2 linked regions of the Diceros bicornis minor genome follow. The protein of the gene in region 2 purifies or fractionates together with the protein of the main gene of each other region. This does not show direct contact. Links are inferred from orthologs where the notes say so. Each region holds a gene or a part of one and is shown on either strand. Other genes may lie near its edges. The genes, in order: SYNJ2BP and ESYT1.

The links.
Region 1: the proteins of ESYT1 (region 2) and SYNJ2BP purify together in Homo sapiens (affinity purification with mass spectrometry; 4 studies listed by BioGRID and IntAct, with this or other methods). This does not show direct contact. The link is inferred for Diceros bicornis minor from reciprocal best matches to the Homo sapiens genes ESYT1 and SYNJ2BP.

The regions. Positions count from the first base shown.
Region 1 is NC_080763.1:18,767,950-18,783,499, forward strand, and holds the start of SYNJ2BP (synaptojanin-2-binding protein), read right to left. Parts: upstream 6,098-15,550; 5' UTR 6,003-6,097; coding exon 5,939-6,002; intron 1-5,938. UniProt on the Homo sapiens protein: Regulates endocytosis of activin type 2 receptor kinases through the Ral/RALBP1-dependent pathway and may be involved in suppression of activin-induced signal transduction.
Region 2 is NC_080756.1:12,633,576-12,648,951, forward strand, and holds the start of ESYT1 (extended synaptotagmin-1), read right to left. Parts: upstream 7,962-15,376; 5' UTR 7,899-7,961; coding exon 7,503-7,898; intron 5,920-7,502; coding exon 5,878-5,919; intron 5,694-5,877; coding exon 5,559-5,693; intron 5,442-5,558; coding exon 5,368-5,441; intron 5,239-5,367; coding exon 5,166-5,238; intron 5,011-5,165; coding exon 4,921-5,010; intron 4,740-4,920; coding exon 4,684-4,739; intron 4,256-4,683; coding exon 4,132-4,255; intron 4,046-4,131; coding exon 3,869-4,045; intron 3,745-3,868; coding exon 3,662-3,744; intron 3,357-3,661; coding exon 3,308-3,356; intron 3,185-3,307; coding exon 3,098-3,184; intron 2,999-3,097; coding exon 2,906-2,998; intron 2,677-2,905; coding exon 2,605-2,676; intron 2,433-2,604; coding exon 2,346-2,432; intron 1,561-2,345; coding exon 1,411-1,560; intron 1,080-1,410; coding exon 924-1,079; intron 791-923; coding exon 614-790; intron 464-613; coding exon 381-463; intron 257-380; and 4 more. Other genes in the region: ZC3H10 (zinc finger CCCH domain-containing protein 10), read right to left, coding at 13,464-14,771. UniProt on the Homo sapiens protein: Binds calcium (via the C2 domains) and translocates to sites of contact between the endoplasmic reticulum and the cell membrane in response to increased cytosolic calcium levels.

The sequences.
Region 1 (15,550 bases), on a different chromosome or scaffold from region 2:
GCACCCTCTCCACTGCCCTCTTTTCAACTTTCTCTTACTCTACGCTTCTTGCCCAACATATGGTAAACTGTACATTGTGGTCAGCATGAATATACCATAGTTTGTACAAGGAGAGAATGACACTATCTAATTTCTTTCCGAAACACTTTCTAAAGGCATTTAATATCTTCTTGGGTCTTTTATCTGAAATGGTCCATTGAGTCTGACTTCACAAGGAACAGAACATATCTTATGAAGGTCCACAGCTCTTTGGTTATTCTACCTCTTGAGGGTACTTAGCACATGCCTATCATAATTATCCTCCTATTGAACTGCAAAATTCTTAAAAATAGGGATCATTTCTTATTCTTTATTCTAGTATTCATGATTCCTAATCATAGTGGAGGCACATAGTAAACCCTAAATGATATTTTTAAAAATAGCTTCCCTTTGTTTCTGAGTTTCCCGAAACCAATAGTTTCTTCTGATTCTATCATCTAAGTATAGATTTTTTCCTCAATAAATAATTTTGTATTTATTCAAATACAGTCACTGGCTACTTTACTACCTAGTCACATGGCTTTGCAAAATGTTTCTATAGTTGAGCATCTATCAGCTTGCCTTTCTACTTCTCCAAATTCCTAGATATTTTACTTTACAGTTATTCTTAAGGATTATCTTGAAAAAAATCTTAAGACAGATCCTTGAAGCAATTTTCAGAGACTGGTACCATATACTCTTTTCACTCTACGTGGCTTTCCATCTATTCCATCTCCTTGTTTCTGGTATCTTAGTCAGTTTCCTATCCACTATAACACATTATGTCCAAATTCATTCCTTCTCTCTTAAATTGTATTTAGTGGAGAACCTTGTTAATGACTGTTTGAAAGCTGAAACAGATCACGTTACTGATTCTCTTAACATTCTATTATATTTTTCTGATATTCATCAGCTTGCTTAAGTCATTTCATGAACTTTTACTGACCACTTTGTGTCATGCACTAGGCAAGGCATTAGGAAAACAAGAGATGAAATACATATCCTTTGAATCAGAAGAGCTCAGAGTGAAGTAGAGGGAGGAGGAGACACAAGTAAGGAAGCAAATATAGAAATAAACACTAAGATAGGGTATGCACAGAGCCCTGTGGGAGCATAAGGAGGAAAAAAAACCTTTCTATGATGGTTCAGAGCCTCGATTTTTAAGTCACACAGACCTGGATCCAATTCTTAACTCTTCTACTTAAAGAGTTGTGTGACGTAGGAGTCAAGGTTTTCTCATTTGCAAAATGGTATAACAACCATTTCATCTGTTCCTTGTTGGGAATTGATGAAACGAAGTGCTTAGTTTGGCAATACATGACAGGTACGCAATAGATGGTGTATGATATTTATAATAAGGGGGCATCTAGCCTAGGTAAGGAAGGCTTCCTGGAGATGACTCTCGAATTGAGTCTTAACCAATGAATAGAAAGGAGAAGGAATCAAGAGGGAACCTTAGAGAAAGATTAAGTTTCCACACTAGCATCGAGAACTTTTCATAACCCAGTCGCTACCTACATCAGCAACCTCATCTCCCTTAACTCTCCTAAATGAACCCTCCCTTTATCCAGGCTTGTTTACTCACCGACCTCAGAATATGCTTTACTTATTTTCTCTTCTCTATCACTGCTTAGGTCATACCCATCCCTGTTCCTGGCATTAGCCTAAAGCCTGTCCATAAGACCAACGTAAGTCCCACCTTCTTGTAATTGATCAGTCTGGCCCTTAAATGGCTCCATTCTTTGAACTTTCCCAGCACAGGGTCAGATTAACACACTCTTCTCCACATTTCCTTTGCCCTCCCACTACATACATGCTCATCATAGTCCTTAACCATCTGCACCTTTGCAATGATTTAACTTTTTACATGTGAATGTCATGTCTCCACTGGAACATAGATTCCATGAGGGCTAGGCTTCACGCTATCAAGAGAAAACAGGGTGAGGATATAACACTTAGTCTCAGATCTATTTGGTACATGAGGGAACAGGTCAGAAAACTGTTAGCAACAGTCTCAGGGTTAAACCCAAAGCACATGACGGGTCTGCAGAGGCTTAAACGCTTGGACTTAATGGGGTTTCTTGTTTTTAGATTCTCACCTTGATATGTCCTTAGCTCTATGAACAGCAAACTGTAAAAACTTTCCACTGAGGATTGTGTTAGTCATTTAAGATGCCTCAAATCCTTCTGGGAATAAGGCATGATATAACAAAATAAAAGTCAGGAGAAAGCTTGGCAGTCAACTATTTAGACACGGCTACTACACTGGGAGGTAATATATGGAACAGCAGAATCAACAGATCTGGGTTAAATTCCTGGTTTGAAACTTACTGCCTTTAGATCTTGGGCAAATCCTTAACCTCTCTGAGAGACAATTTCCTCATCTAATAATGTGGATTAATCACTTACTACTCAGGGTTGCTGTGAAGATTAAATGAGTTAATATATATATAAAGTAACTAGTACAGCGCCAGAAAGATAATACTTCCTTAATTATTTATTATTAAAACACTGTACCAACCTATTATCCTTTGCAACTCCTTTAAAGAAAGTAAAAAAAAGAACAGAGATTCTTTTCCCTCTTTAAAGATAGTGTATCAGGAGCAACTTGCTGAAACCCACTGAGGCCTCAGTCCTGAACAAAGAATCCTAATCCTAATACCCAATGAGCAGTAGGGTTGTCTTTATGGCCAATCTCTACCTGTTAGAGTGAAAAAAAGCTAGATTAGATTCTTGTCACGCTTCTTAGAGTAACTGAATCATTCCAAAATCCAGAACTCCCAGCTTGATAAAGGAAAAAGTAGGAGGTTTAGAGACTATAATCAAGCTGGACTCCCATAGAAAGAAAAGAGATTAACAGTGTTCCATAAAGGATAAAAGGTGAACTCTTCAAACTCCTGAAGGCATTTGAGATTGTGACCACTGCCTTTGATGATTCTTCAGACCACCCACTGTTAGTCCAAAATGGCAGGAATCATAAAATAACACATGGAATGGGCCAAAGAATCATGAACTCTTGGAAGTGGAAGGCAGTCATCCTGCCTAAGCCTCTCCTTACACAGTTGAGGAAGTAGGCATAAGAGAGATGCCAAGCTTCTTTTTGCCTCCCCAGATACTCACTTTGTCATAATTTTCCCAAGATTTCATTTCTTCCCTTGCAGTAAGCAAGATCAGACAGAATAGGTTCATTTGCCTTGCAAAATGGGCCCCAAAACTGGAATTATCTAAGAGTCTTGCCCGTGACAGAACACTGGCACAAAAAAGCAAAAGTATATATACATTCTTGCAGTTACCTGATTAAACTATCAGGTCCCTGCATAAGAAGTGGGACATAGACAAAGAGTGACAACGCTGCCTACAAACAGAAATATATACGTAGAACTAGAGGCTTTTCATATTTCTTCTATAGAAAGAAAGATCTTTACGTGACTACCAAAATTATCGGAAGTTTCTAGTGATGATAACTGATTTCTTCCCTGTGTTATCTTCATGACCACACAGTGAAGAAAAGCTGAATTAGACCGTGGGATTTCTTAGGAGTTCCACATACCAAGTCACTAGCTCTGGGAGGTTATAAACAGAAACTTGAAACCTTTTCTTGTTAACTTAACCAATCAAATTTCCAATGACTGTTTTTATCCAAGTTCAATCCTAAATTTGTGGCTCTCCTCTCCTAAACTCTTAAGTTTATCAACTTAAACGAGTAAGACATGAAAATGCTTAGGAAAATTAAAGGAGTCACTCGGTGAGTAAATCCATTCATTTGGAATAAATGCACATACAATACAGAAATTAAACCACTTTTGAGTGAAATATATTAGCTAGATATAATTATTCTTCTTAATTAGTCCCTTGAAGTTTGTCCTAACTTCAACGATTCAGAAAAACGCGAACATAAGGAACTTTAAGTCTGCAAGATCAACAGGATCAGAAATTTTAGTGAATGGTGAGCTGAACATTAAGCAACAGGTTATGCAAATACCAAAAAAGGTGAAGTGATATTACACTGAACTTTAAAAATATTTAGTGACTAGAACACGCAATATCAGAGGTCTGCTCTGCTCTAGTCAGGAGATCCTAGAAACACTATGAATGCTGCAGCAAAAGGACTATGTCAAAGTACGTTAAATTCTTAAGCAAGGAGACAAGAATCAACCCTCAAACCACATCACATGAGAGCTAATATAATAACTAGGGATATTTAGGCTACAGAAGGAAGAGACAAAACGGGAACAGAACCATTAGATGCCTTTTAATACTTGCAGGGCAATCAGAAAAAGAACTACCACTGTTTTAATTGGCCCTGGGAGAAGAACAGTTACCAATGAATGAAAAAGTATAGAAAAACAGATTTTGCTTTAAAAATAATTTTCCATGTTTGCCTCAAAAGTCAAGAAATATTAAGTGAGAGTGAGAGAAGGAAAAATTTACATAAAATAGGAAAAGTGAATCTAAGAGACTTGGGCATACTGAATGAGCCTTTGACAAAAGTTTGGGAGTTCATATGGAGTGTGACACTAAACCATGCAGATTAGCAATGAATTATAGTCTCATAAATAAAATCCACTTTTAGTTTTTTATAACAAGAAAGAAGATGAAGTATAGATGATGCTGAAAGCCATATTTTATGAAGAATAATCCATGAGTGGTGGTCAAGCTATTGCAAAATTCCAGATGAGAAAAGATGGACTGTTCCAGATAGTGGTGATAGGAATAGAAAGGAGTGGAAGGTTTATAGAGCCATTTCAGAAATAGAGCTCATGGTACTTGATGACTTATTGGAGACTCTCAGAATAACACTATTTAGCAGGAATTATCAGATTAATCTAGCCATTCATCTATTAACAGTAACAACAGCAGCAGCAAACACATACATAGTACTTACCATGTCAGGCAATGTTCTAAATGGTTTACATAGATTCACTCATTTCATTCTCATAATTCTATGAAATATATTCTATTATTATGCACAATTTTAAGGATGAGAAACTAAGGCTAACATCAGTAAAGACAGTCAGCCAATAAATATTAAAGAACTAGTAAGAGATTAGGTACCAGACTTGGACCTACATAATCCCAAAGCTAAAGCTCTTAATCGACACACTAGACAGCTGTAAAGGAAAGGCAACAAAATCCAAAGCAGGCAGCGTGCAGTAATGTTATGAGCCCGGTCCAGAGGAAAGCGCCAGTGGGCAAGAGGACCGAGGAGTAAGTGAGGATTTGGCGGTATCAGAATCACAGGATGCGCTTGCTTAAAAAAGAAAAAAACCCAAACAAAAGAAAAAACCACCTGCATTGAATCCAAATTCCTAGAGATAGGACCTAGGAATTAACTTTTTTAAAGAAAAACAAAAAACCCTGGGTAATTGTGAGGCAGACCCGGATTTGGGAACTGCTCTAACAGATCTCTAAGGTTTCTTTCTGCTTTAACGTTCTAGCTGACACTCTAAATGAATTTCCCGGAAACGAAAGGAAGGAGGGAAGGATACTAGCAGCAAGAAAACGCCTATACATTTACAGTTCACACCGTTTATGCCCCCCCTTTTTACTAAACAGTCTCTCATAGGAACAAGGATAGAGCAGGCAATGGAAGGAGGGGTGCGGTGTCCATCGCATGCTAGCTAAAAAGCAGGCTTTTTTCCAGGATTTTCTAGTATCAGTAGCAGAAAGAAACCCTTCCTGACTATAAACACATGTGGTAATCGACTGCAAAACGAGGTGGATTCCTCAGCTGATCCGTCTCTGGCTAACGATGGATGCCAATATATTCTCCTACGTGCTCACAAGCGTTGCAGGAAACCTCTAGGTTGGGGCCTGCCTGCTCTGACTCTAAAAGAATCCGGCTCAGCACCAGAAGCGTCTGCTCTCCAATTACACCCTCAAGTACCCTACTCCCAGAGGTGACCTGTTCCTCACATACCTGAGGGTCCTCGGGTAAGATTGATCTCTTCCTCAGTGACCAAATAATCCACCCTTCCGTTCATGTTTTCCTGCTTGTCTGCTTCCCACGGTCAACTAGGGGTCCCACAGGTAAAGACGAACCAGCCTCCGCGCGGCGCCCAACGCACACCACTTTCGGTTTCAGCAGCCCCCGGACCGGAAGAGGAAGCCGGGAGCGCTGGCAGCGCCAGGAATGCTGGGAGTTGTGGTTCTGACCGCAGACGTGCTGCGTTATCTCAGCCGGCCCTCGAAACAACCTGTGAGGTGAGCTAGCAGGAAATTAGTGTTCTAATTTACTATTGGGGGTGGGGGGTGAGGGGATAGTAAAAGTAAGAGTCATAAATGAATTGATATTGTCGAGGAAAAATTAAAAATAAAATCTCCTGCCGTCTCAGAAAATCTCCACAAATGTAGGAAAAAAAAAATGGGAGAGAATTCTATTATTCAGTAAGCATTAAACCAGAGTGGGCTGGGCGTCCGATAATGCGATTGCCAAGAGACAGAAATGTCAGTTTTTTATATAGCCAAGCAGATACCATCCGTTACATACAGGTTCTCATGTAAGAGGACTTAACACCGTTTGCTTTGGTAGGTCACCCTTGGGGTGGTCATCTGTGTTAGCTAATTGCCTTATCCTGAGGGGAAATAAAACCTCTATCTCTAGAACAAGCAGGTACTTAGCTTGGAGCAACGCGCCTAGGCTAACTCCTGTGGTGACAGGGAGATGGGGCACTAACTTCCTTGATATTTACATTTCAAACAGTTGGCTCCCAGGACCTGACTTTCTTGGGTTGTACCTGACAAGAAGCTTGTTTAGCTTTAAAAAGATAGATAGATGGATGGATAGATAGATAGATAGGTGTGGGACAGAGGAAGGATTTATAATTACAAGTTTACACAAAATCCTCTAAGAAAAGGGAGAGGGGTAAATGTCTCTTCTTTTTGCTAACAGGGAAAATTCAATCTTTTTTTTTAAATCCTTACAGTAAGACTAGTAGATGAACTAGCTATTGACTTCAGCCCAGCCTTCCTGACTTTTGAGGTAGAATTCCAAAACAGGGTTTGAAGGAACTTTCAGGGATCAAAAGCCTTAAGGGCCAGGAAGGTGACCTAAAGGTGAGAAATAATCTGGAGTTAGACGACAGGGATTGATGGGGACCTGGAGGATTGAAAAGTGCAGATCCAATTAAGGAATTCAAATTCAGGTTAAATAATCACACCAGAAGCTACTGTGTTTACCAAACAAGACAAGAAAGAGGCTGACTCAGCAGGAAGTCCTCTTATTTGCTAATCCTGAAAGAAGTTAACATGGAATAGTGGAAAGAACACAGGAGATGATGTCAGAAGACCTGATCTCAAGCTTCAGTTCCATCTTCTTCCAGTTGTCTGGCTTTGAGCAGGTAACCTAACATCTCCTAACTGTGTTCCCCATCTGAAGAAGGGCATGATAATAGACATGTAACCTGTAAAAGATTGTTGAAAGGATTAAGTGAGAAAAAATTTTAAATATTACTTCTCAACTCTAAACTCAGATGCATGCCACCCTTGCTTCTAGCCCTCCTCAACATATGTTGATTGAATGACAGAATAAAATGATCATAATAAAAAACAGTATGATAAGTGAAAAAAGTAAGGTATAAGTAAGTGACACTGGAATACCAAGAGAGAAGAGACCAAATGGAACTGGGAAAAGAAAATCAAGATTGTCATCAATGAAGAAGTTTGGAAGAAAAGTCCCAGCAAAGTTTCTTGTAGACTGCTGAGGGGGAAATCTCTACTCTGGGAAGCTGCGCTTTTCATCTGAGCATACAACTTCAAGAGAAACACGTGGGGCGGTGAAAGGAAAAGGATCATGAAATAAGTTCAGGAAATGCTGGTAATAAGTGGAATGACAGCTTAGGCGTATAAGTTGCCTTTATACATTAATGTTAGTACAGACGGTTCCTAACTTATGATGATGGTTCGACTTATGATTTTTCGACTTTACTATGGTGCAAAACTGATATGCATTCAGTAGAAAACATACTTCGAATTTTGAATTTTGATCTTTTCCCAGGCTGGCAGTATGCGGTACGATATTCTCATGATGCTGGGCAGCGGCAGTGAGCCGCAGCTCCCAATCAGCGCCATGATCATGAGGGTAAACAACCGATACACTTACAACCATCCTGTACCCACACAACCATTCTGTTTTTCACTTTCAGTACAATATTCAATAAATTGCTTGAGATATTCAACACTTTATTATAAAGTAGGCTTTGTGTTAGATGATTTTGCTCAACTGTAGGCTCTTTAAGTGTTCTGAGCACGTTTAAGGTAGGCTAGGCTAAACTATGGTGTTCGATAGGTTAGGTGTATTAAATGCATTTTCAACTTAACAATATCTTCAACTTAGAATGAGTTTATCAGGATGTAACCTCATCGTAAGTCGAGGAAGATCTGTATAGTTCTTAAGACTGAGGAAACTTTAATATGTAGGAAGGCAGAAAACAGAGGAAATAGGGGTTTCCACTCAGAGAAAACAATTGAGAAAAATTATGGAATCAGGATAGTGTTGGGAGTATTTAGGGAATAGAGAATGGAACATAGAGTCTATGAGTGAAAAAGCAGAATGGGTTAGTAGGTGATAACACTGAAAAAATAAGCTAGAAACAGATAGTGAAGGAATACTACACTGGAGTGTAGAGATGCACACTTAATTCTATATGCGGTAGGCTAAGATGGAAGTTTATTTTTCTTGCATTAAAGAACTCTGGAAATAGTTCAAGGCTCATATCAAGGCTCCTCAGTCACCAGGGCCCAGGTTCCTTCCAGCTTTCTGTCTCCTCTCCAGCCTTCATCCCTGGAATGCAGCCTTTGCTTCATGGTCCCAGATGGTTAAGATAGGTTTTGGAACTTCAACCATCATATCCACATTCCAAGAAAGTAGTGAAGAAAAGGTTCACCCCATACCTTTACAGAGACCTCTTAGAAGTTTCGTACACTTCTTATATCTCATTGGCGAGAAACCGGGTCACATGGTTATACTTAACTCTAAGGGAGGCCTAGGGTATGTTATATTTTAGTGGGATGGAAATGTGACAACTAAAAAATCAGGGTTACTATTGTAAGCTAAAAGGTAAGAATGGATATTGGGAGGCCATTGGTAGTCTCTGACACAAGAAGTGACACTTTCTGTGTGAGCTAGCCTTTCTGTTTAGGACCTCTGTCCTTGAGTTATGTAAAAAGTGTGAAACTTGGTGTCTTCAACCTATTATTTACAAGATAAGTGGAAACTTTGCCTCACACCTTGAGGTACTTTACTCATACCTTGCACTGTTTTAGCATGTTTCATGTCATACATTCACTTTGACTTTCCCGTCTCCTGTCTGCTCCTGCCGCCTCCTACTTCAATATTTTATTTTACCTGCCTCTCCGATGACCAGCTCATGGACGTGTTTGCATTTAGGATTTATCCACATCTTCTTTGATACGGCATTTGTTCCAACTTGCTGCCCTGGAACTGACCTATTTGGTTTCAAACTCTTGCATATTTTATTTTTTCTCTGCTTCCTTTAGGTGATTAAATCCCTTTCTGATTGACACAATTTTTTACTTTATTGTGTTATTACGTTTAATCAGATTGTATCAGTTTGTTAGGGCTACCATAACTAATACCACAGACTGGGTGACAAGCAACAGAAATTTATTTTCTCACAGTTCCAGAAGCAGTGCAAGATCAAGGTGTGGGGAATGTTGGTTTCCGACTTCTCTCCTTGGCTTGTTGATATCTGTCTTCTCCCTGTCTTCACATGATCTTTCCTCTGTGCAGGTACTTATCAGTGTCCAGATTTCCTCTTCTTATAAGGACACCAGTCATATTGGTTTAGGGCTCATCCTAAAGATCTCATTTTAACTTAATTGCCTCTGTTAAGGTGGTCTAAGTGGTTAAGATTTGATGCTCTCACCACTGCGGCCCATGTTTGTTTCCCGGTCAGGGAACCACCACCTATGTTCAGTTGCCATACTGTAGCAGCTGCATATTGCTGTGATGCTGCAAGCTATGCCACCAGTATTTCAGATACTAGCAGGGTCACTCATGGTGGGCAGCTTTCAGTGTAGCTTCCAGACCAAGACAGACTAGGAAGAAGGACCTGGCCACCCACTTCCGAAAAAATTGGCCAGGAAAATCCTATGAATAGCAGCAAAGCATTGTCTGATACTGCACCAGAAGGTGAGAGGATGGTGAAAGAGATGAGGCAGGGTTGGGGCTTCTGTACACAGGGCTGCTAGGAGTCAGAATCGACTTGATGGCATTAACAACAACAACCACCTCTTTAGATACCTTATCGCCAAATGTGGTTACATTCTGAGGTACTGGGGTTAAGGCTTCAACATATGAATTTTGTGGGAACACTATTCATCCCATAACACAGATTACAGTGAAGTCTTACAGATTTTGGAACTGTTTTGTATCTTTAAGGTGGCATTGCATATTTCTGCTCTGGCCCATTACATGTTGGTTTTACAGTTTAACCTTGATAGCAGTATTTCGTTAATTTCCAAGTTCTTGGGGAAAATTACAGTTCAGGCCCCAACTACTAATAATAGCAAGTCTCAGCAAGGCATTTACAGTTATCTCATTTTCTAGCAGGCATTTGGTTAATACTCTCCATTCTTTTGCATATATACACTCTCTTCTCAAGAAATCTAATTTAGTCCCCTAGCTATAAATGCCATTAATATGCCAGCCCTCACCTCTTCACTGAGCATCAGTCTTGTGTAATCCAGTTGTCTATCTGTCATCTCAAAATTTGAATGCCTGATAGGCATCTTAAATTATCATGATGAAACTAGAATTCCTGATACCCATACCCCCAAACCTGTACCTCCTTTAGTCTTTCCCCTTCCTTGAGTAACTTGATTTACCCAGTTCAAATAAAAATCTTGAGAACCATTCTTGATTCCATTCTTTCCTTCATACCCCACATCAACCCATTAGAAAGTCCAGTTGTCTCTACATACAAGAAAATATAGTCTGTATCTGACCATCTCTGCTACTACCTTCTTATTCCAAACCATCAATATTTACTGCCTGGACTTCTGCTGTTCTTCCTAACAGTTTGCGCTGGTGCCACTCTCCACCCCCAAACCATTCTTCCCGTCGCCGTTGGCACAATGTTACAAAAATGTGAGTTAGATCATGTCATGCCCCTGCTTGAAATCCCTCAATCGATTCCATCTGACTTAGAATAAAAGTCAAAGTCCTTAATAGTGCCTATAAGATACCACGTGACCTGGCCTCTGTCCAGCTCTCTAATTCATGTACTACCACAACCCTGTTCCCCCGCTCACTACTTTGCATCTTCCCTGGCCTTTTCTTTATTCCTCAGACAAATTTGTTTTTGCTTTAGATCTTTGCACGTGCTGTGCCATCTGCTCCCACTCCCTCTTGTTCAGTGCTTTATCACCAATACCTAGAAGAGTGGGTAGCACGTAGTGGGCCTTCAGTGAATGAATGTATTTCAGTTATGGTGAAACTTAAATCAGTCACTTGCTGAAGGTCACACTGCAGTTGTCATTTGCTGTCTCATCACATGCTGCTCCCACTAGTGTCCTTGCTCTGCTGCCTGTGTTCCTTTCAGCTATTCCCGTTGACATTGCTGATGCCCTCAAAATGAATACAAAGGAATTTGTTTTATATACAACAAATGTATATACAAAGGCAGCCTTGTTGTTTTCAGCCTGTCAAAAGAAGATTTTGTCCCATTGCTAACAACTGGATAAAGTATATATTCTGCATCTTTGTTTGCAGCTTTTATGTACACTGGCAATGGTCTCTTTAAAATTAGAACTTGTTGCTTCTGGTCTCTGCTGACACCATTTCATGCTTTCATGGTAATTGACCCTATCAAACGCTGCCGTTGGGGCACAAAACCTTGTTATTCCAATATCAGACCCAGATGTATTATCACTAGCTGCTTAAATGTGCTGTTTTTCCCTTTTGGAGAGAGTTGGCCTGCCTGGCATCTTCAGTCACCATTTCACAGACTTCTCTTGTAACAACTGATATGAACATGATATTTTTATGACCTTATGAAATGAATCTTCAATTTTTTTGTTAAAAAAACTCAGTTATCTGCCTAAGTAACTATTGTTTCCCTCCTATACAATCCTTCATAATGTCTCTGAATTATTCCACTTTTCTTTTTTTAGTCACCTAACTGATTTCCTTGTTAAGAAGTTAATAAAATTTGACATGTGCTTGAGATAAATTTGTCTAAGAAACTTTTGACAAGGCTTATAGTCCCTTCATTTAAGACATTCATAAAAAATACCTGTTCCTATTACTTTACTCTCTGTGTAGGTGAATCATGTCTCTATACACCCAGCAACTTAAGTACCAAACCTGGGAGATATCTCAGACTGCTCTCTCTCTCTCTCTAATTTCCTTCCTCCTGCCTTCCCTTCCTCCATCAATCAATAAGTCCTTGTGCTTAAGTATCAAAACTATTTCTTCCTCTCCATTCTTAAATTAATTTCTTTAGTTAATATCCTTGAAATCTTACTTGCATTGTTTTAGGAACCTCTTAAATGGTTTCTTTGGCTATAGTCTTATACATCTTAAATTCATCCTCCACGTGTTTCCACATTATCTTTTCTAGAATCCAAATTTTATCCTATTACTCTCCTGTTTAAAATCCATCAGTGTTTTCTCTTAGCCTTCAGGTAAAGCCAAATTTCTTAGTAGGGCACACAGTGATTCATGATCTGGCTTTCCCTACCTTTATGTTTCATTTCTAATATTTTCTTGCTATAAAAGTGCAAATTGCATTATGTTATGTCCCTGCTCAAAACCCTTCAGTGGCTTTCCATTTTACAAAAAAAGCCAAAGTCTTAACGATGCCTATAGGGCCTATATGACTCAGCCCCTTTTAGCTCTTTATCTCATCTACTACCACAGTCTATCCCTCCTCCTACCCCTCCAATCCTCCCCAACCCTCCCCCAAACCCCTCCCGCCCAATTTTGCAACCACACTGGCCTTCTTTCTACATGTTCTTGCTTTCAGCCATAGCACTCGCTGGGTCATCTGCTACCAGACCTTCACGTACCTGACTTCTTGTTCACATCTCAATTAAAATGGTGTCTCCTTAGTGAGGTATTCCTGACCACTAAATACTGAATAGTATCCCTTTCTCCTTTATTGTAGAATTTATCACTACATGTCAAATTATCTTGTTCATCTATATGTTTACTTATTTATCTTCACTTTCCTTCTCAATAGAATCTAAGTTCATATCAAGCTATACTCAGTTATAAGCAGTTTCTCATATTTGCCATAGTTGTTAAAATTCTTTGCCTTTGCATATTCTATTTATTCCCTGTACCCTGATTATTCTTCTGTCCTTTCTTCTTGGATAATTCCAGTTTATCCTTCCATCTTGGTAAAGACGTTATCTCTTCCAGGCAGACTTCCCTGACACTTTCTTCCTGTCCAGGCAGGACTAGTTTACTTGCCTTCTGTCTGGGTACTTCAGGTTTCTAATGTGCCTCTATCACATTGTATCATGCTATACATTTTATCTGTCCACTTACATTAGATTTTAGATGGAGGAATTGTGTCTTTCCCATTTGTATCCCCTGTACAATGGTGCATGTGTAGTGATTATTCACTAAGTATTTGTTGAATAAATAAATAAGTTAACTGTCCTGGAATTGGACCAGAGGATATTTGAGTTACGGGATCAATTTTTCAGACAGTCCCTGAGCAGACTATAAGATCCCCTCTCAGTTATTCTTTCTAAACCAACTCTCCCCCCACGCCCACTCCCCAATGATAGTGCAGACTTTATCATCTCTTGGTTTGTGAAATTTAATTCTAGTGTCAACCTTAAAGTCCACTTTATCATTTAACTAGTGGTGGGAGGTGTGAATTTAATCTTCACAGTAACCTTTGGAGTAAGTACTGCTGAGTCTGTTTTATAGATGAGGAAGCTAAGGATGAGGGAAGATTTTAACTTGACTAAGAGTGCATGGCTAGAAAGAAGCATTGTCGGAATTTGAATTTATGGCTTAAGTGTTGATGTTCTTTCTAGTACATCTCCCTCCCCCAGTCCCAGAGACTCTAATGCAATTAGGATTCCTGGTAGCTTGCTGTAATGATTCAGAGTTCATAAATGAGCATGTAGATTAGAAACAACTACATTAAACACCCCATTTCTGAATTTCAAATTCATTTCTCATGGGGCAGATGAAATTACAAAAATAGTAGTGATAGTTATAGCAATGGTAATGTCATAAATTGTGCTGTGCTAAATCTAGCTTAACTTGGTTAAGCTAGAAATTAAGTTTCCCAGAATCCTTCTCACTGTATGGCTGTAATTGAGACTTTGCCAAAAGAAAAATGTGTACTTGTTTTGGAAGGCAGAATTGAAGTAGTAGTTTTTGAAGGTCTTTTGCAGTTCCATGTGATGATGGACAGGTGCAGAGGTGCCTGGTGTGTTCTAGCTTGTCCTTGTTTTCCTCTGTACCATCTACAGCTCTTCTTCCTGAATCCTCAACAGATGATCAAGAGCGGTCCCCTCCTAACACCAGAAACTTGACACACAGAGGAACAGAGGCAACAACTTCCTTTTATATTCCTACTCCAGGAGCTGGATGTATGTGGCTTCTCAGATTGGTTCGTTGATGATCCCTTTTCTGACTCACCAAGACCCCCTTCTGGACCTTCATTTCCCCACTTCCTCCACAATTGTGTAAGGTCTAATTTATTTATTTATTTTTTTTGTGAGGAAGACCAGCCCTGAGCTAATATCCAATGCCAATCCTTCTCTCTTTTCTGAGGAAGACTGGCCCCGAGCCAACATCCGTGCCCGTCTTCCTCTATTTTATATGGGACGCTGCCACAGCATGGCTTCACAAACAGTGCATCGGTGTGCACCCGGGATCCGAACCTGTGAACCCCGGGCCGCTGCAGCGGAGCACGCGCACTTAACTGCTATGCCACCGGGCTGGCCCCCTAAATTTATATTGATCCCTCATCCTAAAACACTGATAGTGATTTTGCAACCCTGACTGCGTGCTGAATGATGTAGTTATTTGTACCAAAAATGGTTCAAGAGGAATAGACTCTAAGGTGGAATGTGCAATTGGTTCTCCATAGCATTCAGTGGTAAAATGGTTACTTAAATTTTCACCAGTGGTCACCTGGAGTCAAATATCTGCTGCCATTGAACATTTTAGTCAAAATAAAGCATTTATGAAATGTGGGGTTGGTTAGTTGCTTTATGTGCACTAAGAGAACTTGGAGAAAGAAAATGATGAGATTAGAGTTGTCAATATTTAGCTCAAGAACCTGGTACAATTATAAATGTGTGTAGGTATCTATATCAATATCTATATACATATCTCTCTTTATTGCTTTTGACAAAAGAGTGAAATTCTATTGCACATAGTAGTTTATGACTTTTTTTGTTTGCTTGGTTTTGTTCTGATAATAATACAACACAAGGACATTTATTCAGTCATAAAAAAGCTTTCTATGAACAGTTAAAAATGAAATAAATAGACAAGAATCATATGAAAGATACTCAAACTCACCAATTAAAATAA
Region 2 (15,376 bases):
CTTCCTCACCTCCTCTAACTCAGCAGCAGTGGGACGAGGGGTCAGACGCTCCAGACGCAAGTGCAGGCGGCCAGATGGGACGTCCTCCAGGGTCAGCCACTGTGGAAGTAGGCAGGGTTCAGACGTGGGAATGTGGGGACAGAGGGACTCTGAGAATGAGACGTGGGTCAAGATCAGGAGGACTATTGATTCTAGTTCCATGCTCACCTCATCAAGGAAGCCACTGTTTAGGACTGTGGTGAGACTCACTTTACACCTGCAGAGGAGAAAGGTTAAGACAAGGCCGATGGTCACAGCCAAGTCTCTGTCTCCCTAAGGCCAGACTTCCAAGGCATACAGAGGCCCAGCCTGTCTGCCCCTCTGGACTCGCACCCTCTCACCTGCCCAGAAAGTCATCCTTGTCCAGGTCCTTGTCAAAAACTTCAACCTCCAGCTCTTGGCCTGGAATTGATGTGACGATCACCTAGTGGGAGGAAATAGTGTGGACAAAAGGGGATTCTCTTCTTCTCCAAATGACTGGACCCTCCCAATCAACTGAACCCGAGATTTTCTCTCAGAGATAGGGGGAAGAACGGGGCAGGACTGGGAGGAGTCCTGGCCACTTGATTCTGACCTCAAAAACTTCATTCCAGCGGGGATTGAGATCTTCCCGAATAACACGGCTCCGGAAGCTTCGTCCTGCCAGCTTTAGTTTGACATAGGGGTCTGACTTGCCCTTCACCAAACCCCCCAAGAAACGGTCTTTGGCAATCAGGTCCTGGGCCTCTAATACATGGATCCGAAGCACATTCTGCAAAAGGGACAGAGAGGGACACTAGACAGCAGTCAAAGAGAGAGAAACCTGTCAGAGCCAGACCTGAAACAGGCTTTACACACCTAGGGGTGGGCAAACAGACCCTAGTCCTTTTCAGATACAAACTCACCTCAGTCCCAAAGTGACTGTCAGGAGTAGTGTGAGAGGGTCGAGGTGGGGTATCCACACTGCTGCCTGTCTGGGGGCTCTCATTGTCCAGGTCCCAAGCCCCAGGACAACCAGGCACGGCAGGGAGGCGCACTTCTGATGAATCTAAGTACAAAATCTGCGAAGGGTAGTGTGATTGTCGACTCAAAGAAGCGCAGCTAGCCACCAGCAGGCAAGGTATGTGGGGGTGGAGGGCAGAGCAGGGGTTCGGACGGGGAAACCAGGTCCCTGCCTTGGCTGGGCTCATCTCTAGAGGATTCCCTCCACACTCAGCCTGCTCATACACCCTTTTGTCCCACAGTTATATCAGCAAACATTTTTTTGTGTGCCTGCTAGGTGCTTCCACATGTACTAGCTCATTTAATCTTAGAGGATTCCCCTTCCTTACTCTTAATACCAAGGAATCCACAAGGCCCTTCTCCACCCTCACACTTCCTCCATCTCCATACCCTCATAACCAGCTTCATGTAGAGCCTGGAGTTTGGGCCAGAGCTGCTGAGCTGGAACCACTGGTCAAGGGTGAGTTCAGGGGCAGTCAGCAGGCGAGCCAGAGGCAGAGTCAGTGCCCCTAAAGTCAGGGCCCTCGAGTCATCCTTCACCTGTAGGCACAGGAGGAGGGGACGTAGTGAAGAGATTAGGGAAAAGGGAGACATATTGGGGAAATTTATTACATGGGTCCAGCTTCATTCTCTCTGTGCCAATCGCAAAACTTTTATTCCACTCAAGGCCATCTTTCTACAATCCTATGCCCACTCCATGGTCTGTCCCACTCCATGGTCCCTTCCGACTTTGCTCATTCTGTTCCCTTACCTGGAAAATTCTCATTCTCCTTCCCTCTGCTTATTTAAATCCTACTTATTCTTCAAGGACCACTCAAAATCCTACTTCCTTCATCTCTCTAGTTACTCCAGCCTCTGTATCTTTTCCTGGCCAAAATACTCATATTCTATGAGTATTTTACTCCCACTAGTTAATATTTAGTCATTCATGGATTATATACATTATATATATATCATTCTTGGTTTTACATATGTGTGTCTTGTCAGTTATGAAACTAGCCAGTAAGCTTTGTGAAGGCAGATACTCTGTTTTATGCTTTTTCTATGACCTTTAAAATGTAGGTGTCTAAGAGGTACTCAGTATGTTCTTTTTTTAAAAAATAATTTTATTGAGGCATAATCATTCATTTTAAGTGTACAATTCTCAATTATAAAAAATGATTCTAGAGAGATAGGTGGGGAATAGTGGAGAGAGAGTGGAGGAGGTGGAGAATCTATGTAGATAGATTGAAAATAGAGATCAAAGGAGAAGATGGAGAGAAGAAATGGCAGAGATCTGGGAAGACGGGATAGGGTATTCAGGAGGGGCCAAATGATTATCTCACCTGTATATCAAGCTCCTGGCTTCGAGGGTCTTGCAGGAAGAACCGGAAGGCCTCCTCCCACACCGGGCAGTTAGTGCTGTGGAGCGCCTGGAGATGTGCAGGATGAGATTAAGGGTACCTGCACAGTACCATTCCTGTGTCTCTAGAAAACCCTAGCCCTTATAGGCATTCTAACGCGGAGACGTCATCCCAAGAACAGTCCTCCCTCCCCCACTGGCCCCACACATGACATCTCCCACAATGATGTCTTGGCCCTCACCTTGCTCTCCTGGGTCACATCCTGAATTGACAGCTGTACCATAGGGTTGGGTTCCTTGTTCCCCTTCTTTAGCTGTAGGGGGTAGAATATAGAAGTCACCATCTTGGGTGTTTTGGTTTTGTTTCAGAGAAGGAAGGTGGGCTCTCATCAGAATCTTTTCCTTGACGTGGCTCTGATCCCCTCCTTGGAACCTTTGTGTTACATGTTGTTGCTTCTGGAACACAGCAGGCAGGGGCAAAGGAGGGTGTGGGAATGTGCATTCAGGGCTCCCTATTCACCTGCCCTCAGAAGCCACACTCACAGGAAGATCCTGGGCCCGATCCAGATAGACAGCTAAGATGGCAGCTGATGGGGGCTCTGGTCGGGAGGAGACGCCTCGATTCCACTGTAGAACCTGGTGGGGTGGTAGTAGTCAGACCTTGGTTCCCCCAGGCCTCTAGACTTCCAGCTACCCATTTCTCCCCACCAGCTTCCTGTTTCCCACGTTGGTTACCTCCTCCAGTTTTTCTGCATTTGGCAGAAGCGACAGCCATTCTAGCCTTAGGTGAACTTGGCCTTGCCCGCCTTGAAGAGGGAACCACTGGAAGGAGAAGTAGAAGAAAGTGGGAAGAGATCAAGCACCCATCTCTTCCCCACCAGTGGAGCAACTATTGTCTGCTCAGTGGGTGAGACCACTCCCCACCTTCCTCTTCTCTCAACTTACATCATCCAGTACTCCAGCCTGCAAAACCTTCCCCACATCCAGCTTCATTCTGGGGGGTCGGGCAGAAGGGAGCGGCAGTAAAAGGGAAAAAAGGGGAGTGTTGTAATTAGTACCTTGTCACTGGCCCTCCACTCACCCACCTAGAAATAACTGGCAAATCTCAGACTCCCTTCAACTTACACTCAGGAGATATTTATGTGTGTGCACACGCGCATGCATGAATGGTGGGGGCAAGGGGTGGGGAGGTTGGGAAGGAAAATGATACATGATTCCCAGGCCCAGAAAAGGATTATAATTACCTCTGGGACCTTGTAGCACTGGGGCTTTAGAATCCTAACATAGGCAGAGTCTCACCTGCCTAGAAAGTCATCTTTGTCTGGATCCTTGTCAAACACCTCCACCTCAATCTCCTGCCCTGGGACCTCGTGCACTGTCACCTGAGGAACACAGAGGGATCAGGGCCTCATGGGCTGCAGCTGCGAGGATCATCAATCAGCATCTTCTCTCACAACCTCCGGGGGCCTCCCCATCTCACACAGCCCCACTCTTCAGCTCTCCCACCTCATAAGTCTCTCCCCACTGGGGGTTGAGTTCCTCATTGATGACACGACTGCAGAATGTCTGGGTGCCCACTCGCACAAGTGCATAGGGGTCTGACTTGCCCTCAATCAGGCCCTTCACGTATTTGTCCTTGGAGCTCAGCCCTTGAGCAGCCAGCAGGTGAATCCGAATAATGCCCTGAGGGTAGGAATCAGATAGCAAGAAACTAAGGACCCAGAACAGGGTCCGAGAGAAGGATCTATCTCCTGGGGAAGAGGCCATACCCTGGGAAGAGGGGAACGCAACTGGGCCACATCCTGAAGGTTGGGCACAAGGGGCACCAATAATCGGTTGGGCAACACGAGGAAGGCAGCGATGGAGTCCATGATCACGGTGTCAGAGAGTGAGCTAAATGTGGGAGTAGAAGAGGAGGTGAGTGTGGCCCCACCTTCCAATATCCTCCCACCCCCAGCTATGTTTCCCACAACAAGAGAGACCCAAAGCTAGAGAGAAGTCCTTTCTGAAAATCCCTTTTTGCTACTCTTCTACCCTAATTTGCCTCCCACTGCTCTGTCCCTTCACTGCCATCCCAGCTCTTCCTTCTTTTTTTGCTCCTGCTGAGCAGTCTGCAGCCCTCTTCATTCTCTACCAAAATGCATGCTCCCACCACAGAAGAGAAGTCACAGCATGAAACTTTTCAGGGGGTATCTGTCTTATCCCCCCAACCAGGGTCAAGGCTCCTGGAGGCATCGGCTGCACTATTTACTGCTTCATATCCCTTAAACCCCCAGGCCAGGGCTGGAACACTTAGCAGGTGCTCAGTAAGTCCCTGATACCTGAGTCCTGGGATATCCAGCAGGTTGGTTATCCCTGTCCAGTTGATATCTAGGGTCTGAAAGGAAAGGGCAGGGGGATCAGGACAGATCCTATGGTGGTGTGGTCACACTCATCCAACAGTTGCCACACCCCTCAGCCATCTTGTCAATTCTCTCCCCTATTCCCCATTGCTGGTATCCTCACCCTCCCAATCCTGTTTCCCCTGCTTCCCCATCCCCCTCAACATTTTCCCTTACCGGGCGTCGGATAAAGAACATTGACACAGCCCCCACGATAGGAAGGTCCCCAATGAGTGGCTCAAGGATCACCCGCAAGACACCATGTAGCTGGGGCAAGAGAAGATCAAAGCCTTTACTCAGAAAAGGCCTTCTCCTCCTCCCAGACTTCCCAGCCTTGGTTTTTCCAACCTCCCACTTCCCTGTGTCCAATAAAACCTAGGGCAAAGCCTCCTTATTATGGGGGCCCTTGAGATCTGCCCCACCTGCATGCCCTTGACTCCTGCTTTGCAGAAATATTTCTTCACTTCCACATCAATCTGTACGTCACCTACATAGCTGGGGTTTAGTGAGGAAGAGAAGAAAGAGGGTTAGTATCACGCTGAAAGGGGGGCAGGGGGAGTGAAGTAGTCAGAGGGACCAGGATCCTGTCGAAGGGGAAGCAGGAAGACTGGTGAGTGGCACTACCTGATGTTCAAGTCCAGCAGGATCTGTTCTTTGCTCTGACCAGGGTGAACTTTGACTCCTACGATGCGCAATGGCTGGAGAGAGAACTCTTGAGAGAGGAGAAGGAAAGAGAGGAGTACCCCAGCCCCTTCTGGCCACCCACCTTTCCTGTCCCATCTCCTCCCTTGCGTTACTTCCCCCTACACATATACCTTTTCTCCCAGTTCCACGCGTGTAAATGTAAACGTTTGCAGATGGGTGTTAGATCCTCGAATAGCAGGGGCCACAGTTTCAACCAAAAGCTTCTCCATATACTGGCCCAGGAAGGGCCAGACCTGGGCCACAATCTGAGAGGAAAGGGAGCCCATCATAGGAGAGCCCAATCCTCCCTCTAAAGGCAAGTTGCTTTAGAATCCGCCCCATGGGGGGCACTGGGGATGGGGCTAGAATTGAGGTATGGTAGGGCTTGGCAAGATGAACGAACTCCATTCCCCCTTGTGAAAAACAAAAGTCAAGACAATCAACCCTCACCTTATTTAGCCACTCAGCCTTTTCCACATCTGGGAAGCTGACCTGGAGGTGAGGAAGGCAGAGATAACAATGAGCACACCCTCTGCCAGTGGTTTCCTACTAAGATGCCGGGTGGGATGTCCCCAGAGAAAAGAAAACATAAGTGTGACAGGGCCTCCTCACACCCAGGGGCTGGGGGAGGGGCCAGGATGTCCGAGGATTCATTCCTCCTCAGGGTTTGGGGGCACTGCGGTCTGAAAAGGGGAGCTGACACAAAGTTGTTTTGTGGATAGCTCCCGGATGTGAAATGACAGGTGCTGGGGCAGAGAGGAGGAGGGAGAAGGGCACATTCTTTCTGGAGGGGGTGGTCCTGTCAAGTCAGAGTTTGAGGAGGAAATCCTGGGATTGGAGAAGTCCTGGTTCCTTTTTCCAGCCTTCCCTGCTCCCCTTGGACTGGGGGCTGTATACCAAGAAGGTGAAGAGGAAACCAGCCCCTGGAGTCAGGGAGGGGCCAGAAGAGCGGGTTAGGCCCTGGCCATGTTTTTCTTCTTCCTTTTATCAGTGTGACTCCTTTTATGGGAAAGAAGGACACCTGTGCTTTGCGTGGAGGGGAAGAGAAAGGGTAGTCGCTTCAGGAGGAAGATTAGTTTCCACGAGGAGGAGTAGGGGGATCAGAGACAGCTGCTGCCTGGACTATTTTTCCCCCATTCCCCTCCCCAGTCGCCGGCCTGGGCAGCATGGCTCTGCCTGCCTAGTGTCAACTTTGATTCCTCTCTTCTGCCATCCTCCCCCTAGACTGGCACCTCTGCTGGGAGAAGTAGGACCGGAGAGGCAGGGAGGGGCCGGGTAACTGGGCACTGCCTCTGCAAGCCCGGAGAGAAGGCATCCGGCCCCTCACCACAGGAGGGGGGGAGTAGAAACAAGGGTCGTGGCCCCGACCGAGCACGCGCAGCCCACAGTCCGGAAAAGGGTGGGGCCGGCCAGGGGCGGTGGAGTGTGGGCAGCGGGCACTGCCGCAGTCGCGATCCCCTCCCCCAGCACCCCCGCCCTTCGGCCAGCAGCCGCCCCCGCTGCGCTGCGGCCCGGCCGCCTGGGGCTGGAAGGCGAGGGCCGGAGGGTCCGTCCAGGTGCGGGGGCTCGGCGGGGCAGTGCTCCCGGGGCTGGCTTCCAGCGGGTACCCGGGAATAAGAGGGGGAAAAGGAAGAAGAACCAATGGCCTTAAATAGGCACAAAGTCTTGAACGGACAGGAGAGATGAGGGAACCGTCTGAGCGGCAGCGGGTGCGGGGATGCCCAGGAGCGGCCGCGGCGCGAGTGGCCCCAGGGCGAGGAGAGGCGCTCAGCGGCTTGGCTGGGAGGGAGGCGGGCTCCCCAACATTACTGCTCTTGCCAAGCGCAGAGGAAGGAGGACTGATTCTGTGCAAGGAACGGGATCTGGGCGTGCCGGGGGGCGGGGGAAGGAGACTGGAGAGCCGGTCCCAAGAGTGCCGCGTCCCAGAGGCCGGTGGCTAGCGGGGCGAGAGGGGAAAGTCTGCGGCCCACTGTCCCAAGGGTGGGGCACTGACTTTAGGGTAGGGAGGGAGAGCCCTAGAACTGAGGGGCTAGAAGGGGGCTCTGCTGCACTGAGGATCGAGGATGGTCGCTCACCCAGGCAGGCAGCTCTCGATGGCTCATGTAAAGTGTCTTCGCCGTGATCCGCTCCTCGTCGTCCAGCAGCTGCCGCGCTACTCGAAGGCTCCGTTCTTTCTCGTCGCGGACCCGGCGCCAGCCCAGGTAGAGGGCGAGGCCGAAGAGCACGAAACCCACGCTGAGTCCTATTGCCCCGGCCAGGTATACCGGCACCAGCACCAGCAACCGCCGCCCGAACGAAGTCAGCACCGCCAGGACCTCACTCGCCGCGCTGGGGCCGGCAGGTTGGTTCCCAGAACTCGGGTCCGGCTTCGTGTGAGCAGTGGGGGGCTGGTCAGGGGGGTCGGAGGGAGCAGAGGGCTGGTCCACGGGGCTAGGGCTGGGGCTGGAGCCGTCTCCAGGGGAGCGCTCCATGGTGCCACCTCTGGGAGGACCCGCCCGACCCACACACCGACTGGAGGTTGCCGCGTCTTGCAACTAGCTCCCCGCGGCAAACCGTAAACCCCAGGATGGGGGAGGGGACTTCAAGCCACGCCCCCTCTTTCTGGCGGCTCGGGTTGGTCCGCGCCGCACAGACTAAGGTGGAGTCAAAAGATCGAAACCCTGCCCCTCTCCCGCGGGGAGGGGATAGGGCTCCGAAGAGGCAGGACCTCCTTGATTGGACCAGAGTGCCCAGATGGGAGATCTGGGACGGCGGGAAAAGGAGGAAAGAGGCTAAAGAGCGGCATTTGATTGGCCAGAAAGAGAAGGAGGCGTGGTGTACCATTTAAAGAAGAGAGCAGGGCGCAGGGGGTCCCCCACGTGGGATTGGAGTGCCTGTGGTATGACGTCATGCGGAGCCGCACCGCCAATTACTCGGTTTTTGAGGGAGTTGGAGTCGCGAAGTTGAGTTGTGAAGGGTCAGGATTTCCTTCCACTCCATTCGGACGGTTTGGCAGGGTTTGGTCTGGGATTCCTACATGTTCATGTGTCAGCTTTCCCTAGTTTTTACACTCTAAGCACATTCTTTATCCTTCAATTTTTTCCTGGCTGTCCTTACAAAAAGAAAGGAAATTACCCTATTGGGAATGAAAGTGTTGGATGACGACGCTGTCTATCGTGTCTCCAGTCCTCTACGTTGTCTGTGCAGTGTAACGACAGACACTAGAGAAAACTGGAAAATCCGAGAATTACAGAGATGAGACAATCCAGCGTTCAGGGAAGAGAAAAAAAAGCGGAGTGAAGAGGAAGTGAGGCTTGCTTTCTTTTTAGAAATCTCCAAGAGTTAGTCCATTCTATCTCCAATTCTATCTCTATCATAGAGCGCAGACCGACTCCAAACTAGATCGACTCCAAAAAGAGGAGTGGGTGGGTGGGCGGTCAGCTGCAGCAAAAATGATTACACTTTCCAAGAATTTCCTGACCCTGAGGAACTGCTAGGACACTAGCAGTTGAGAAATCAAGAGTAATGAGACGATTCTGTGTTTCATTTGCCTGAGTTAGAAGGAAGGTTTGGAATACAGTCAGATGTAGAATTAATGCAGTTCTACATGAACTGTGCAGGTTTAGGAAGGGGAGAGTGCAGGGTACATTGATGATGACCAGTGTTACTAGTTAACTGGATTTAGAGGTGGAGTGTTGTCCAGAGACTTAGAAACTAGACTAACTGGAAGTCCAGGAGGGAAGGGTTGGTCATAATATGATCACCTTTTAATGCAGTATATGTGGGACTTGTGTTATTCTGTTTGACACAGCAGGCAAACCAGGGTTACTGCTGGGGAGAGACTAGGTCGGCAGCTGATAAGTTTTATCTGGCTCTGCAGGGCATGGATTTCATCAGGCTGTGTTTCATCAAAGCTGCTTAAAACCTATCGCTGCCCAGCCTTCCTCTCAAATTTTCTCACTTCCCTTTCTCTACTTCCCTGAGGCTAACAGTCTCTAGGCTGCTTCATTCAGTTTGCAGAACTGTATAAAGAACAATTTTCTATCTGCCTCCTGTGTCATCCATATTCTCAGAGGTGAGCAGGCAGAAAAGGAGCTCAAGGAGTTTGGAGGAGATAAAAGTGATCTGCTCACCAACTGATGAAGCAGAACTATAGGAGGAAAATGGATGAAATTCTTTAAAGGGAAACCTCTCTATAAACTGAAATTTGCAAAGCACTGGAGTAGGGGGAGGGGGGTCCCTTAGACTGGGGGATGGAGAGGGTGACCTATAGAGGTTCCTTTCCAAACTCCTCCCCTTTCTCACCCCATCTCGCTCATCAGACCCTCCTACTGAAGATGGTATATGGAGGATGAAAGCTCATCCTCAGGAAGGTCTCTTCCCAGCTGGGACCCAGGAGCCACAGGATTAGCAACTGCAATGCAGGCACCAGAGAACAAGTAAACAGGATGGGTCCCCGCCCATTGACAATTCTGCTGCCCAGGTGCCACCTGGTGGTGATAAGCAGTAAGTGGGTAACAGGAAAAAGGATGGCCATTTGTTAGAGGAAGTGTCTAAGCGAGGAGAGTACCAAGACTTCCTGGATTTGCAATCTGCACTTATATGTAAACTACAATTGCCTCCTAGGGGAGGCAGAGGGTTGGACGTGGTAATCTGGTCCCAGCTCACTCTCCAAGATGGAAGGGGCAACAGGATTTGAGGAAATTTCCTCTGTATTATTCCTTGCAAGTTACTGCAAAGCAGTGGTCCCATTGTTGGATGGCTCTATCCTTAGAACTTTCTTATGCCAAGTCTGGAGTCAGACCGCCCGAATAGATTCCTGGCTCCATTCCTTACTAGTTGTGGAACCCTGGGCTGATTACTCTCTTTAAGCCTGCTTTCTCCTCTGCAAAACAGGTACAAAAATAGTACCCATCGTGTCAATGAGATATTGCATGTAAAGTGCCCAGCACAGTGCCCTGTCTTGTACTGAGTACTCAATAAATGTTAGCTGTTATTCTACAACTCCCTGTGTATTTCCCAGGCAGCAAGACAGGACCTTTTCTCTATTGGGCAGCCATTCAAATATTTGAAGACATCTATTGGGTCTCCCGTCAGTCTTCGCTTGTCAATTTTGCTCACCTATTCCACTGGTTTGTCAATGGCCTTCTTTAAAAATTACATTGAGAAGAACACAGAATACTTTAGGAATGGTTCCACGCAGACAGACACGGTAGAACTGCTATATTTACAATGCATGACTATGGTTTGGTTACCTTAACAGAGCTCCTAGAAAGGTGCCTAGAACATAGCAGGCTCTTAATTTTTATGAACTGACATATTATGAGGACTAAGATTTTAATTTTTGGTAGCCAACTGGAAGTCCCGTGTTGTTCTCATGTGAATTACTGCTAATGCAGATCTCTGCATTTGTTCCTCAGCCAGGTTCAAGCAATTTTTTAGAGGGAGGGTCAATCAAAATTGATCCAAATTGACCCCTTGGATTAATTTAGTTGACCCAAGTTACAGACACTTTCAGTATCACCTAGTGCTTCTCTGTTACTGTTGATAACAGGGCTTTTCTTATAAGTTTTTTTTTTTTTTTAAATAAAACATAGCCCTTATGTATATCACAAGAGACTTCTCTAACATGAATGCACTAATTAATAGTTAGTAGGCACAAATGTTCAGTTTTGATTCCACCAAACTCTACTATTAACTGACCCGTAATTATTCTCTTATCTGCAATGACTTAGCAGGTGAGAGAGAGGAAAGCAACTCCTGATCTGGGAACATCCAGGCTTCAGAGTTGTTGGGGGCTGACCTGCGATCACAGCTAAGAAATGGTGCTCTCTTGTTGGACTCAAACAATTTCACACAACACCACTATCAGAGAAGTGCACTCAGTGACTGTGATGAAGTGAGGCAAAAAAACCTCTGCACGATTTTGTTTAAGCACAAAACAAGGTCAGTATGCAAACCAAAAAACAGCAAACATCCCCCTCTGCCAGCTAACGAGTGATTTCCGCTTCATTAGCAATTGCAGCTTCAGCTTCACTTTAGTCAGCCCTTTTTCTAGATAAGATAAAGACACCCAATCACAGAATTATCCCTGCTTCCCTGACAGCACCCAATCCAGAGTGAAGCCCCACTTCCTTGAACCTTCCCCCAAATCACTTAACCAAAGGCCAAGTCCTACAAGTTCTTTCTAACAGCCTCTTGCTGAAATACCACGGTTCCCCAGGGCATGCTCTCTCCACCACTGCAAGGAGCAATAAACACAACTTGTTCAACTACAGGTCTATTCCTGGTGGTCTTTAGCTGGAATACCTTAATAAAGGACACACAATGTCTGCAGTTTCCCAGATCTACCTCTTCAGAGATACTTGGCAAAGAGAAAATAAAGTCAGTCAGCATTTGGCTGGGATGAGTTCATGTTGGTATCTATGATCACATTTGTCTCTAAATGCTCATAAACCATCTCTTTAATAATGCAAAATTGTGCCAGAAAACCAACATTAAGCTTATCAATGTGTGGTTTCTAAAATCCACAAACAATACTTCAGTATTTGCCCATTTTTAGTCTTTAGGCCCATTCTTTTTTTTTTTAATGACCAGCCTTGACCTAGCCAGCCCATCTCCAACCCCAGGTGTAACCTGAGTGATCAACCAGACGAGAGCAAGAGGTAGCAGGAAACATGATGGGGGGAGAATAACCCAGGATCACTTTCTCTACCCCCAAATCCACTGTCCCATTAGACTAGACACCTGAGTTGTTTCCCCTACATCAGCCATGAGCTGAGGAGGAACTGAGGTTTGGCTATTGGGGCCCTAGGCCTTACTGACTCTTAACCAGATTTAAAACTTCTGTGGTCCTACGTGGAGGCAGAGGGAAGAAAGGGATGAACTCTGAGGCTTGTGTCCCCAGAAGAACTCTCCTTTTCCCAGCACCTCCCAAGCCTTGAAGGCTTAAGGCATTGGTTACTGAGGAACGGATGGGGCAGGAGGGACATTAACCCCCATCAACAACTCAGAGAACAATCACCAACTGCCCTGCTCTGTTTGAATAGGAGAAGGATCTGTCAATACATATCTCATTCCCATTTCCCAGAACCTCTACCCTCCTTAGTACCTGCCCCCCTAAATGACCCTAGGAGCCCTGGTTACTAAGGCAACCTGGGAATAGTACATGCACATAGAAACCAGAACAGATGGGACTATTTTTAAACTAGACTGGGTGGCTCCAATGCTTTTACCCCACAAAGTGCCTTCCCCAAAGCCCCATTTGGTCTTGTTCTGGGTCCCTACCCTTCTTCACTGGCTTCCCTCCAACCTTACCCAAGCTATGTGAGGGTGGGGTCTTTATCCCATTTTGGCATGAGATCTATTTACTGCTCCCATATTCACACAGAATACCTAAGCAAGTTTTCACTGCCTCCATTTGTTAAAAATAATTGTTTTTTTATTTCTTTGGAAGGTGGTGGGCCCTGCCCTATAGATTTCCAGGCAAAGTCAAGGTAATGAACGCTCCCCTATTCTTTGGGCTGGAGTACTATGGTCCCCGCCTTCCCACGGGCCTGGGAGCAGTTCCTATATTGTCCAACTCAACTAGGCCCCAAATTGTCTGAAGGCTCCTGTTAGGCCTTCCCTCCTGGCCACCCACTTCCCAATCTTTCCTGACTTTCCCTCTGGGCAGGGTATTTTTTTCTTCCAAAGCCAGTGCTGGAACCTGTGCTGTGCAGAAGAGAGGACAATACCAGGGATGTCCCCAACTTCCCATCAGCAGACATACAGCCCTTTAGTCAGTCCTTGCTCTCTGCTGGCTTCAGTCTGTACTCCCATGCAAGCCCCCTCTGTGAGGCTTGAAGGAAGATGGACAAGAGGACCCTCATACAGGGGAGGTGAGACACAACACACCAGCCCAACCCTTTCTCAGAAGCAAACTCCTTGTAGTCTCTTGTCCTAGTTCTTGAGTGAGCCCTTCAGACAGGGCCTGGGAGGGCTAGGCGAGTGGGTGAGTAAGGGCCCCTCAAGCCCAGCCCTGGGAGGCTATTCCAGGGTAGTGTCCATTAGGCCCATCAGTGTGGCATGGCTGTGATACGCATGCTCTGGGAAGCGATGGGGTAAGTCACCATGGGAGTGGTGGTGTGGCTCATTGTGATTCCTGCCAAAGGTTGGGCCATCGATACAGCCACAGGGGCCACAGGAGCCACAGATACAGCCACAGGAGCCATGGAGACAGGTGGGGGTGCCATTCCCTGGGCAATTGTTTGAGCCAGAGCAGCTGACAGTGGTGTGATCTCTGGGTTCAAGTGTGGGGGTGGGGGTGGTGGAGCAGCAGGAGGTGCAGCATTAGTTGGGGGAGCAGCTGGAGCTCCAGCAGGGGCCACCAGTTCTTGCTGGGACACGGGTCGAGGCTGTAGAGCCTGGCTGCTGAGAGTAGTGTGAGTCTGGGCAATGCCATGGTTAAAAGTGGCGACAGTGCCCACGGTGGGGGCCAGAGTCTGCTCAGTCGCTGGTGCAGTGGAGCTCAGGGTCATGACCTTGGCCTGATTGCGGAACTGAGCGTTTTGTTCCAGCAGTACCTCATTGGTGGCCAGGAGGTTGCTAACCTGCTTCTTGAGCTCCTCTACCCGCTTCCTGAGCATGGCGTTCTCCTCCTCTAGTAGTCTGCACTCCACCCCTCGGGGTGGAGCCAGGCTATATTCATATGATTCAAAATGGGGGCCATCTGGGGGGCAGCATCCACCTCGCCGGCGCTTGGGGCCTGGTTCATGGTCCTCAAAGCCCCTGTCAGGGAGGTCGTAGATATCATAGAGATCATGACGTCGTCCTGGGGGGACTGGGCCTGTTGATCCCCCCCCACCAGTTCCTCCTCCACCCCGAGCATCAAACTCAAAATCCCGCTGCAGGTGACGGAACTTGCACTTGGCTCCTCTCTGACAGTCACCCTTGAGAAAGTCACGGCAGATAGGGACCTCCTCCTTGCCATTTGGTAGGTCAGCTGGTGAAAGGCCCAGGCCAGCTGCCACTTTCTGCCTCAGCCGAGGGGGAAGCTCTCCCGTCTTCTTATAGCCATCCTCATCCTCCTTGGAGCCATGGATGAATCGGCAGTTTGGGCGACTACACTCCTTGTTCTGGAAGTCATGGCAGAAGATGAACTCATTTTTGCTCACTCCCAAGTTGGATACCTCACTCATATCTGGATGGCGATAGCGGCAACGCTTGCCTCGCTTGCATACATTCCTCAGGAAGTCTCTGCAGATGGCATCTGAGCTGGCCCCACCACTGCCTGCCCCTGTCCCACTGGCTTCCTCGGTGCCACCACCTCCAGGGCCTCCACTGCTGCTCCCAGTGCCGTTGGCATAGCTGTCCCGATCAGGCATCCTGGTCCCCTCCAACTCAGGGCTTTCTTCCTTTTCTTGCCACCCTTGGTGACCACTAGGAGAGAGGAGAACTGTGTCAAACAGGAATCCTCCAGAGAGGCCACACTCTTCCTGACTATAGAGCAGGCAGTCCAGCAAGAGGCAGGGCAGAGGGGCAATGGCTTTGGAAATGGAGAATCTAAGGGATGAGAATTCTTCCTGGACTGGCCAGCTTCTGAGAAGTCCTGCCCAGGCCCTTGTGCACCTGGCCTGGGTCAGAATGATTCACACTTGCCTGGCTAACAGTGGAGGGAGGGAGCTGGGGTGAAGCCACCTCATCTCACTAATGTTGACAGGCCAAGGAGGGGGCAGGGAGAGAATAGTGTTGGATTTTATTCCCCCTTCTGAACTGACCTTATTCAAGTTGTGGAAGCAAAACTAAGACTGCTATTGGGACGGCCCCGTGGCTTAGCGGTTAAGTGCGCGCGCTCTGCTACTGGTGGCCCGGGTTCGGATCCCGGGCACGCACGGACGCACTGCTTCTCCGGCCATGCTGAGGCCGCGTCCCACATACAGCAACTAGAAGGATGTGCAACTATGACATACAACTATCTACTGGGGCTTTG